3 linked regions of the Oryzias latipes genome follow. The protein of the gene in region 2 interacts with the protein of the main gene of each other region in a biochemical or structural test. Links are inferred from orthologs where the notes say so. Each region holds a gene or a part of one and is shown on either strand. Other genes may lie near its edges. The genes, in order: nedd4, fgfr1 and anos1.

What was found.
Region 1: the proteins of fgfr1 (region 2) and nedd4 form a complex in vitro, tested with the Homo sapiens proteins (2 studies listed by BioGRID and IntAct, with this or other methods). The link is inferred for Oryzias latipes from reciprocal best matches to the Homo sapiens genes FGFR1 and NEDD4.
Region 3: the proteins of fgfr1 (region 2) and anos1 form a complex in vitro, tested with the Homo sapiens proteins (3 studies listed by BioGRID and IntAct, with this or other methods). The link is inferred for Oryzias latipes from reciprocal best matches to the Homo sapiens genes FGFR1 and ANOS1.

The regions. Positions count from the first base shown.
Region 1 is NC_019861.2:21,574,819-21,578,470, reverse strand, and holds part of nedd4 (E3 ubiquitin-protein ligase NEDD4), read right to left. Parts: intron 1,207-3,652; coding exon 1,156-1,206; intron 578-1,155; coding exon 516-577; intron 346-515; coding exon 249-345; intron 1-248. UniProt on the Homo sapiens protein: E3 ubiquitin-protein ligase which accepts ubiquitin from an E2 ubiquitin-conjugating enzyme in the form of a thioester and then directly transfers the ubiquitin to targeted substrates. Specifically ubiquitinates 'Lys-63' in target proteins.
Region 2 is NC_019867.2:20,628,903-20,633,275, forward strand, and holds the start of fgfr1 (fibroblast growth factor receptor 1 precursor), read right to left. Parts: upstream 2,910-4,373; 5' UTR 2,611-2,909; exon of another isoform or gene 2,403-2,610; 5' UTR 2,274-2,402; intron 1-2,273. UniProt on the Homo sapiens protein: Tyrosine-protein kinase that acts as a cell-surface receptor for fibroblast growth factors and plays an essential role in the regulation of embryonic development, cell proliferation, differentiation and migration.
Region 3 is NC_019879.2:24,201,749-24,205,400, forward strand, and holds part of anos1 (anosmin-1), read left to right. Parts: intron 1-3,239; coding exon 3,240-3,384; intron 3,385-3,652. UniProt on the Homo sapiens protein: Has a dual branch-promoting and guidance activity, which may play an important role in the patterning of mitral and tufted cell collaterals to the olfactory cortex. Chemoattractant for fetal olfactory epithelial cells.

The sequences.
Region 1 (3,652 bases), on a different chromosome or scaffold from region 2:
TTCTCAGATACATCCGCCTGTTCTTGGTAATACGGGGAACTGCTCTGACTATACACAGAAGGAAGATTTTTTTGGTTTGAGCAAAATGCTTGGAATCCAGTTTATTCTTAGCCAACATATACAAGCAAAGCAGACCAAGTGGGACAGTAAACATGGAAAAAATACAGTCAATTAATATTTTACTTATCCTCTAAGAAGATTAAAGCTGAAGTAAATGACCAATTGATGAAAAATAAGGGCCAACTTACATCATTGTTTTCAGTCTGGTCAGCTGCTTCCTCCCCTGAGTCGTTTGGCAGGTAGGTCATTCTGAGACGCAGATATCCTTTGACTCTTGATTTATGACTTTGGGGGGGAAAAAACAGTCAATTTTCAATAAATGATCTACACATTATAAGCAAATCCTTAACTGTGATCATGTTTCACTTGTATCACTTCTCTTAGTAAATGAAAATGTCAACATAAAAAAATGGATCTTAAAATGAGCAAAGTAAATCATATGATGAAATGCCAACCTTCGAGGGTGGAGCAGAAAATCCTTGAATGTGTATGGCCTTTCTGAACTAGGATTTTCTGTCTGTGAGAAAAAAAAAACAATCCACAAACACACATAAAAAAAAAACTTTGATTATAATGTGCACACGTTTAGATCACCAGGGCTGTGTCAGTGTACTTTAAAATAAAACATGGGAAGATGGTACCGGTGCACAAGGAAGCCTAATTTGAGGGAGTTGTATTTATAATAAAACAAAGGCACCAACATAAACATGGCTGACAGTGTTTTCAAAACTATGGACACCGATGGGGAACTGACATCTGAATCGCGGTGTGTGTATTTATGTTTGCATGAAGGCATGGGTGAGACAGAGGTTAAGAACTCATACAGGTAGGGTACGTTCTGGACTCCTGCCTACTTTAAGGCATCTTCTGCTGCATCCATGGGTAAAAACACCTAGTTGCAGGACAGTAAATACAGTTTTGACTTGCAGACACTGTAGTCCTTAATTATTCAGCTATTTCATTCCTGTCTAAATTTAGGCTGTAATTCAGGCCGTAAAGATGTATATAATCACGTTTTCCATTGTAGATGTGCTGTAAACTATGCCACACTCTTCCTCGGTCTGTCCGTACATACAAAGACATTTAGCCACTCACCGGTATCTGATTTAAAGGAATATCCACTTGTCCCAGGAAGTCATCACGTGTCTGTCAGAGAAACAGGAAGTTACACAAGTGTCAAAAATGTTTCAGTGAGACACACGCACTTTTCAAAGTTGCGCTGACTTTCTGTTGGTGCAATTTATTCCGCTGCATCATACTCTTAGCATTACAATTACCTTTCTATCCTTGATCTTTAGCCTTAATAAACCTTAAAATGTTCTCACTTCTCAAAATCACAAGATACACAGCATATGTAAGTTTTACAACATCAAAAATCTTGTTGTGTATCTCAGATTAGACACATTAAAATTGTGTCTGTTATTTGGTTTAAACCGAGCATTTTATGTCTTTTTTCTCTCTTCCCCCTTTAGTTCATTACCAACTGTACTTTCTATCTAATTTTACAAATACGCAAACAGAAAATGTGTCCCATGCTTAAAACGAGTGAAGCCTTTTATCTCGGTGTGCAACTCAGATGAGTGATTATCAGCAACAGATGAACAGCAGCTCTGTGTTACAGCGAGACAAATGGAAAATAAAAAGTAATGCAACATGGACACTGTTTTGCCGTCAAGCATTTGGAACATTTAGTGTGTGCCTTTTTTTTCTCTTGAAAGCTTCTCCTTAAAAGGTAAAAAAAACATTGCTTTGAAAAAACAACAGACATGCAGGTCAAACTGTCTAAACAGTCCAAAGGTGACAAATATGGATTGAGGCTGGTTTTATCAGTATATTTTTCCCTAAACAAAACATAATTAACGTGTATGGGGTCAACACTGAGCATTACCTATTTAGAATAAAGCCTTTTGTGTAAGTAAATAGAAGATAAAAAAAGAAAAAAACAAAAACAAAACGTTGATCTTAAAAGTCTCTTTAATCAAAAAATTAAACATTTCCTTCCTGGTATTGATGACTCTTTCAGGTGAGGGAATTGCTGATTCTCAGGAATCTGAAATGAGTAAAACTGTTCCTTTCCTTGCAGGCTGAGGTCAAAAAAGAGATCAAATTTGTCTGTCTTTGCAAAGGGGGGATTTGTTTTACAAGGTCAGAACTTTTTGTACAAGGTACCCGGTCTCAGGATTGGCTCCTTTACAATATGAGATAGCAAAACTGGGTAGCAAAGATATGCACAAAGAGGAGACAGAGCACGCTGCATCTTCATGGTGTGATTGGTGAATTTTTGTCAATCTCTTCAGAGAGACACACCAGCACATTGTGGTAATAAAATCTGTAGCTTCCAGAGTGTTAATGTTTGCATAGCACCAATTATTGATAATCAGCCGATGCAGGCTATTGAAAGATATACACTAAAAACATGGTAGTGCATTGCTGCAGCCTGGGACAGGGTAATCAGGGTAATCATGACCTGAAGCCTTTGTGCCTACTAAAGACCCACTCCAATGAAAAATGTGTTTTTGGTTTTTAACAAGTTCTTGTAGCATTTTTCTCATGATGGATGACATGAATAAAGAAAATTAAGCTTACAATTGAATTTCTGGTTATTTCTTTATTCAAATTGTGGTGAATAAGGAGCAGACGAAATAATGCCGTTTGAAAAATCCCTGTAGTAATGACACAGCTGCTACAGTCAACGAGCCGCAAACTCCCTGCCCAGCTCCACTGTGATGCATCCGGTTGTGGACGACTAGATCCAGGTACGAGTTTGTTTCCATCGTCTGAGATTGGATCTGGCTCAGAACTGTACAGCTGAATAGCTCCAATATTGTTCGCCATTTTTGTTGCACCGATAATGTGAGCTTAGAGTTGTGAGGGGCTGTAAACAGAAGGATGATGGGAAGCCAGGGAAGGCTTACTTTGCCCAGAACTCAGAGGCGAATTTCTGATGAACTTCTGCTGCTCTGCAGAAACTATGTCCTAAAAGACATAATCTTAATAAAAGACCCTGGGAACCCTTTTAAAGATAGATACAAAACTGACTGGAGCGGGACTTCAAGCTGCATTGAAAACTCTAAAAATAAACAGCACCATCTGAAGGTAGCAGGCTTCATGAAAATAAAAAATAACCCAAATGATGTCGAATATCGTTGATGTTACGGCTGTGGCCGTATTTGGTTTTGTTTTGTTCTGTTTATTCTGTGTTTTGTGTATTTGATTCGTATCAGAGTGGGACTTCTGTGTTTTTGTTGATCTTTGTGTGTGTATGTCTATGTCTGATTATTTTCAGGTGTGGCCTCCATTTGGACCCAAGCTGATGGAGGCAGCCTTTACAACCACCATTTGGACCTCCAGCATGTGAGAAGGGAGCCTTGCAGCAACATGTCTCCACTGCAGCTTGGCGCTCCTCTCCACCTGTTTTGTTGTGTGTTGCACTTAGTGTTGTTTTCTAGTATTTTGTAGTTTAGTGGTTTTGTGCCCACCATGTTTAGTCTTTTGGTTTGTAGTTATGTTAAGTGAAGCTGTAGGGGTGAACTGCCATTTTCTTTAGTACTCGTTTTCTCCTGTTTTTGTTAGTCTAGGGAGGTTAGTGTTT
Region 2 (4,373 bases):
TTTAGCATTGACGACATCCTGATAATATTAGAAGTAATTACTTCCAAATTAACTATCTAGATATTGCACAATCATCAAAGCAGGAGAGATTGTAGAAAGACCTTGTATACGCACCATGTCAATAATCAATTGATCCATAAATGTATCTAAAATATTAATATAAATACAAAACGAGAAATGTTATTTACATTTATCTTTAGAAAATGTTATGACTCTTATATTAGAATATTGAATTTATCGTTTAAGCATTTTTTGCATTAGTTTTTTAAAACTAATAAAACTAGTTTTAAACTTTTTTTTTAAAGGTACTTTAACTTTTCATATAAATAACATTTTGCTTTTGAATAAAAGTTAGAAAAACAGTTTGACATTTAAGTGAAGAAGTGGGTTACTGCTTGAAGTAATTATAATATTTTGTGGTAGTTGGGTTTTTTGTGTATGTAATTGTATTATGAAATAATACAGAGCTAATAATCAATCATCATGCCGTTTCAATTTAAATGACAACAGTGTTGAGTAGATTTAGATATCAAACGTTTGTTAAATCGTCCTTTCTCCCTTGTCTGCATGACTAAACTAGATAATCATTTAGAGCAACCTAAAAAGATGGCTAATTTGGATTTTCTTTCCACATCTACAACCCAAAGTTATACATTTCCAATGGCTGTATGCATCCAATGTAGTGAACTTCTTTAAAATAAAAAAAACACTATGCAAAGTCATCATTGACTCATAATGCATGACCAATAAAAGAAATATGCTGGTTTAAAAATATTAATATGATATCTTTGCTTCTGGTTTTTACAAAATAGTTGTGAAATACAACTTGTCTGAAGGAGGGAAAGGAACACATGTTCCAAAGATCTGCCAAACCAAAAAGAGGTTAGACAAAACGAATAACAATGTGCGGGACACATTAAGCTTCCTTCATTATGCAGGAACAAAGGTTACAGTACTAACCCATAACATGGCTTGCACCATAATTAGTCTTCACCACCATCCATGCATAAAATTCCTCAGCAGCCAAATGCTGTAAATCACCCCCTTCCAATTGAGTCTGGGTTTGCAGCCAGCAACAGGCCAGTCCGCACATGGATGCAGTTCAGTGGCCGCGGGGCATCAGACCATTTCCCCAAGGCGACTGCAAAAAACATCTTTTTTTCTTTCACCTTTCTTTCTTCACAACCATAGACCTTGAAGCATTAGTTGGCCAACAGCATGTCATGATGTGGTATCGGATATCATGAGATTACACTAAAATGTAAAGACAATCAATTTCAAACCATTTGACACTTCGCCATTTGTTTGACACTTAAACCCTGAGTGTTTTTAGTACCACTCGCAGTGTTTGTTTGTTCCCCATAAAACAGGGATCACCAACTGTTGGGATTCTACCAAGCATCATCAACTGTGCAACTGTCAACCAGAGAAAAATACATCTATCACACGGAAAATAAGTGAAATTAAACCTTAAGAAACTTTAAGAAAATCCATTTTTGACACCACACTTCCAGAGACACAGTTTAAGTGACAATAACTAAGCCAAAGAAGCAGCCTGGTAAATTAAAGGGCAAAACTCTTCCTTCACTTCTCATTATATGCCTCAGGTAAAACCTTTCTCCCTTTGGTAAACTCCCTGCAGACATACTGCTTCTTCAAACCAGCATTCTTCTTCATTTTCTTTAATAACATAGCATTTACAGCTTTACAAAACATCAGTCCTGCCCATTAAGATTGAGCCTTGAGGACAGATGCATATTTGTCGACTCCAACTGACACTTTAAATAATAACGTTTTTAAAAAATATATGCATATAATAATTTTTAAAGTATTTTCTTCTGCTAGTCAGAAGCAAGGAAAGAAGAGGAACAGCTAGAGGATTAGATATTGACTTTCAAAACAATTTTGAATGCGTTTTAGGCAAAAGGGCAAACAAAAAGAAGGTTGATAAACCAATTTAAAATAAAATAAAAAGCCAATTTGTACAGTTAAAAAAATGTATGCTTTCAGCTCACATAATTTATCATGTTCTCATTTTCCTGATCTGATGATCTGATGTGACCGAACATGCACTTCGTGATGGCCTTAATTTAGGAAAAAGGACTGGATTTCCAGAATTTAATTTTTACCCCCTCCCCCCAAACCGCTTTAGGTTTATTTATTTTTATTTCAGAACGTGGATTTTTTTTTTTAGAAACCATAACTATCCCCTTACACAAACAGTAAACTAAAGTTAAATCAAAGAGCGAAAGAACAAAACAGAGAGAGCTCACCTTCCTGGCGGGGAGCAGTGAAACAGCCAGTGTTGGTCAGATGAGAGCGAGTCCTGCCTGAGCTGAGATTCGGTTCGAGAAAACGTCCCCCAAAGCTGTATATCCACACCGCTGACGAAGTCGAGTTATCTGCGTTCAGCTTACAGGTCAAATTATATTTCTGACAAACTCGTGCGAGAGAAGGAATTTCACCCCACTCATAATCTACAAATTCCAAACTACTAAGCCGCGAGGGAAATCAATATTAGCTAGCAGCTAAAAGTTAGTAGTTTTGCGTTAGTCTGCACTAAATATATGATCTTACATTTGTTTTCTGCGACCGCTTTAATTATCTTACCTAACAAATAAGAAAAACGAGAGCAGCCTCCGGGCTGGTGTTGATGATTCCTTTATCCCCAACACGTTTCGCACGCTAGGATGAAATCCGCGTTTCTGGAAACTGCGTCCTAAAGTTCTTTAACTTACTCAGTCTAACAAAACCCACCGGAAGCGACTTTGTTCGGTCTTGCGGCTTTTACAAAAAAGAAAGAAAAAATTATATCCGTTCATGGAAAGTATTTTTGAACATTACTAATGGCGAAATGCTGTTACGATAACGAGAGACCAAGTCAATCCGTGCCTCCCTCTATATAGAGTATTGCATTCTTCTCACCGCTGCAAAGTCAAAACCAGTGCACGCACCACTTCCGCTTCAAAATTTCAAAATAAAAGTCAGGATAAAAATGTTTGATGGTAATAAAATCAATAATCCATTAATTTTAAGGGGCCTTTCCAGGCTCCCAAGAACACTTTACAAATGAAAACAACACACAATTTAAACATATAATTAAACAGTAAGCAGAAGTTGGCTTTCATTCCACTGTACTTAAAAGTCCTTACCATTTTTAATGTTTGAAAACAATACCTCCACGTGCAGTGCATAAAGTATACCAGCTAAAGTCTTCTTCAGACTGAATTTCAACATTTTAAATTTACATTAGATAGTATATGAGTAAACATATAGATTAAGTACATGTAGTTCACTTAGACTTATTTTTTGCTAAGGGTTATTTACATCTGGTAGAAACCAATTTATTTGATATAAAGTTTAACTTGAAAAAAATCTAACGTTAGAAATTATTTAAAAAATATTATATAATCTTCAGGGGTGCTAGTATGAATGTACTAAAGATTATGCTCATTGCATTTAACACATCCAGCTGTTGAGTTGACAAAAGAACAAACATTGTGTTTTATTTTGTAATGAGAACTCCTGAATTTCCTTGGTTCTTTTTAGCATGACGTGGGACATGCAGCCTTTTGGAAACCTGGCACCCCTTCCATCCACAGCACCTCACCAAACTCCACAGAATGGAGATCTATGCAGGAAAACTGTCAGAAAAACAAAATAACTGCCTTCTTCTTAAAAAACAATAGGGAATTTTTAAGCAGAAAAACTGCTTCACATCAAATCTTGTTGACATTGCAATTACCGGTAATACAAATACAATTTAAATATAAATAGATTGTTTGAGTGGAGCATATGAGATAAACGTTAATTTATTTTACCTAAGGGAGACTTTTCATGACTCAACTATTATATTTTCCTTCTTTTTTGAATCAATAAGACCCTCTCGCAAAAGCAGAACAAATGCCACCATAATTGATTCTTGGATGTATGCATTATCAAATGAGAAAAACAACCATGTTCCCAAAGAAAGCAACCACTTTCATCAGCTTTCCATTCAAAGCATACATAAATGAGTTCAATTGTTTGGTGTACAGAATTGGAACAGTTACAAAGAGCAGTGGAAATTCAAATGTGCCTGCAAGGTCAGCACAAACGCAAAATTTGCTCTGCCTCATCAAACGCATAACTCATGTGATGAGCTCATATTTCCTTTGATTTCCTGTCACAGTTGACAAATGAGTGACAACTGAAGCTGCAGGGACACATGAAGCTCAGCCTCACAGTTAGATGAAAGAATGGATTGATTGACAGACTGATTTATGTCATGGCATGTGTCAGCCTTTCATCCTGCATGCAGTGATAAGGCTGGATTGTGTTACCAGCAGTCACAAACTTGAACTTGCTTTAGTCTTTACTCTTATTTGAATTTC
Region 3 (3,652 bases), on a different chromosome or scaffold from region 2:
CCTTTCGCTCCGTGTGGGCGCCACCCAATTTATGACATCAACCCAGTCGGCAGCATGTCTGTGTTTCACCCACAAAAACAAACAACATCCGAACTTTTGCAAAGATGGACGCGCATATTATACACATAAAAGGGAAAGGTTTTTGCCGATCACCACTGGCTGTGTGGAAAAAGTGTGTGTGTTTGTGTGTGTATAAGCCTGGGGGCGGGGCTGGCAGTGCAGCCTCTTCCTAGAAGGGGCGGTTCCTCCCTTATCTACATCACAATGTGAGAACGTCGTCGTTGGTTGAGTTGGGAGGGGCTGGTACTCAGAGCGCAGGTTTTTAGAGGAAACGTGTGAATGGTTAAAAATGAGGTTTCCTTTTGTGAGGAAATAATATTATTATATACTCAAAAGCTCAAAAAAGTTGATTTTGCGTGGTATAGACCCTTTAAGCTTTAAGTTGTTTTTTTACAATGCTGAACACTTTTGGGTTAGAGTTAGGGTTAGGGTAAGTTGTAAAATTTCTGCTACCGGCCAATGATGTTAGGCGCCATGTTGTCTGGAGCCAGGTCCCTCAAAGCCTGTGGTCTCACGTTGATTGTCCGAAATGTTCAACAAATTTTGTGTAGTCCCCTTTCAAGTAGTAGAGGGTTGGACTTCCAATAATCTCACTCCTGATAGACGAAAGTGATTGGAATAGAAATGACGACTCAGACAGATTTGGACCAATCACACCTTACTTACGGTATTGAGCTCCAACATGACGGCCTCAATATCACAAAAAAAATGCAGACTGAATTGACTTGATTTGGTTAGAGCCAGAAGTAATCTGTTATCTATGGGCGACCTCACGCTCACTCGGTCCAGTTCTCACATACCGTCAATGAGAAGAACAGCTGAAATACGATCATGGAGGTACATCTGGAGGACCAGGACCGGGCAGTTTGTGTGTTTTTCATCGCGCCTTTGTCATTTTGCATCTTTTTGAATACTTTTGGAGCACGCAATGGGGAAAAAGAAAAAGAAGGACAATCAAGGAATTGAACTTCCAGTCATTTGTGTGCTTGCTATCAGTCACACACATTGATGCAATGTATTCTTTGTTGTTTTAAGTTCTTATGGTGATGAAAGAGCCTTTAAACACAGTGGATGTTTGAAGGGAAAAACATTAAGTATGATGAATAGCCCTGCCTGAAGTGATAAATCACAACGGCAACATCTGTGTTTCTAAATATCTCAATCTGGATTCCTTTTCAGGAGGTGTTCTGAAGCTTTTATTCCTGATTGACTGAGTACCTTTCAAAAGTCGTGCATGGGTTCACTGTTTGACTTCTCAGTTTTTACAGTAACTGTGAGTTTCCTTCACTGTAGCTCCAACTCCAAACCCTTCTCTTTTACTTTAACGGATGCTGCATTCAACCTGAGGGGAGGAGAACACATCCAGGGCGAAGGCATAAATATTTTTTAAGAGATTTTGCTGATTTCTGTCATTAAGACCCTGGAACTGCTTTCCCTCCTGGAATACTAGCAACTATTTGTTCCAGCAATAAACAAACCATTTCATGGGATTTTGGAGACGAAAGCCTGTGTTTTGATTACAGCAAAGAGCTCACAAAGATTGCAAGTCCTTACTTGGACAAAATAAACTACAGTCCTGTGGACGTGTATGGGTTTGGTTTAAAAATGACACCATTGGACAGATTTTGAAGACATTTGAAAAACAAAAACAAAACAACAACCCTGGAATCTGCAGATGTGCACATTAAAAAAAGCATCAGTTCACATTTTGAAACTTTCCTCCCGACTGGTTTAGAAAAGAGGAACAAATGAGAAACGTCTGCTTCACTGACGCAAAGCCAAAGCGTTTGTGATTTTGACACAAACTGAGCAGCTTTCAGTATTTAACTGAGTAGACAAATCATTTGATCACTCCAGAATTTGGTGACCCAAAACTATGAGACAACCGCAAAATGTACGCGTTCTTGCATTTCCAAACAAGGCTCCGACTGAGGAAGGAATGGAGCTGCAATGAGCGGAGGAAACGCAGCCGTTGAATGAATGTCAGCGAAGATGCTTTGGCGGCGTTTGAGCTGTTGCAGATCAACCAGAGCCAGACAGATCTGATCCCTCATTCTGATGAGGGGCGTGTTTGACCATTGCACGTATTTAATTGCAATTTTCACATTAAATCGTAAAGACCCATTAAACTGTGTGTTTTGGGCGTTTTTAACATCATACTCTGATCATCTTTTGATCCATTGTGAAAGCCTTCCCAGCAGTGTTGGTTGTACTCTGAATTATCCCCCGGGCGAGGAGCCCCCCCCCCCTGATGTTGCTCGCCATTTTTGGTGCACAGGTAATGTTAGGTTGTGGATGCGAGGGGCTGTAAGCTAGTGGGAGAGTGTGTAAACAGAGATCTCTCAGTTATGGATGACAGGAAGGGGAGTGAGGTTAGTTAAGCAAATAGTCCCACCCACAACAAACAGTAAGGGGAATTTTTAATGAACATTAAACTCTACAGAAACAATGTCATCAAAAACTACACAGCTTTTTTATTTTGGCTAAAAACCACATAATCATATCTAAAATACCACTGGAACTGCTTTTAAAAAAGCTCAAGAGATGATCTTAGTGGGATTTTAATGCTCCATCAAAACAATCACTTTAACATCATCCAGAACTATCAGATCTTCCTTTTTTTCCATCTGGGAGCACACTATCTCCAAAGAGAGTTTCAGGAGAGATTCAGGCCAAGAGACGGATTGTCTAGACGCTCCACACACACCTTTAGAGAGATTTTTTTTCTGAATTAGTTTCTATAATGTGGAGCAGATGTGGCACAAAAGAGATAAAGGTGGCAGACACCGGACCCGGTTGACACATGTAGTGCTGGCTTCCACTTTGGCACCTCGGGGCTTTGAAAGCAGCCTGCTGACGGAGGAATGTCAAAACACTCGAAGCCGGGAAGAGGAGCTCATCAGGTTCACGCTGATGGTGGAATGCTGGAAGCACGGTGAGGAAGCCCTGGGAGGTTTTGATAACACAGCTCTCTCTAAAGACCCTCAAGGCTATCTCTGCACCGCGATCCCTTCTGCGGCGCTGCATGTGTTCTTAATAACCTGGGCTTTCCCACAGGCCGTGGCGGCTGAGCTGTCTGGTCAGTGGTTGGTGCAGGCGCGCCGCCTTTGAAGGGCGTCTCAAGTGACAGTGTGGTAACAAACAGATGCCAACATCCCAAGTGTTTTCTTTTGTGACAGGCCCAGAACTGGCTGGATCTGGAGGGACTGCAGCAGAACAGCAGCTACAGCGTGGAGCTGCAGGCCATCACGTACTGGGGGCAGGTGCGCCTGAAGAGCCCCAAATCCTCGCTCCACTTCACCACTAACCAGAATAATGAGTCAGGTAAGTAATGACTCTCAGGCTCTACATGAGGCTGGGCAGATGTGATCGCTGCTCTATGCCAGCTATGTGTGGTATTTTGATGGAACACTGAAAATAGACTGAACCGCTCCTGTTGCAGTGCAAAGAGTTTATAATTTTGCTGGATCTTTGCACTGAAGAAAACTCAATAAAGAAAAAAGAGCCGCATTCTGGGAAAGGATTTCATTAGTTGTGAATTTTTTATCCTTCATGGTCTTTCATAGTCACGTGCAAGGCAACACAAAGGTCC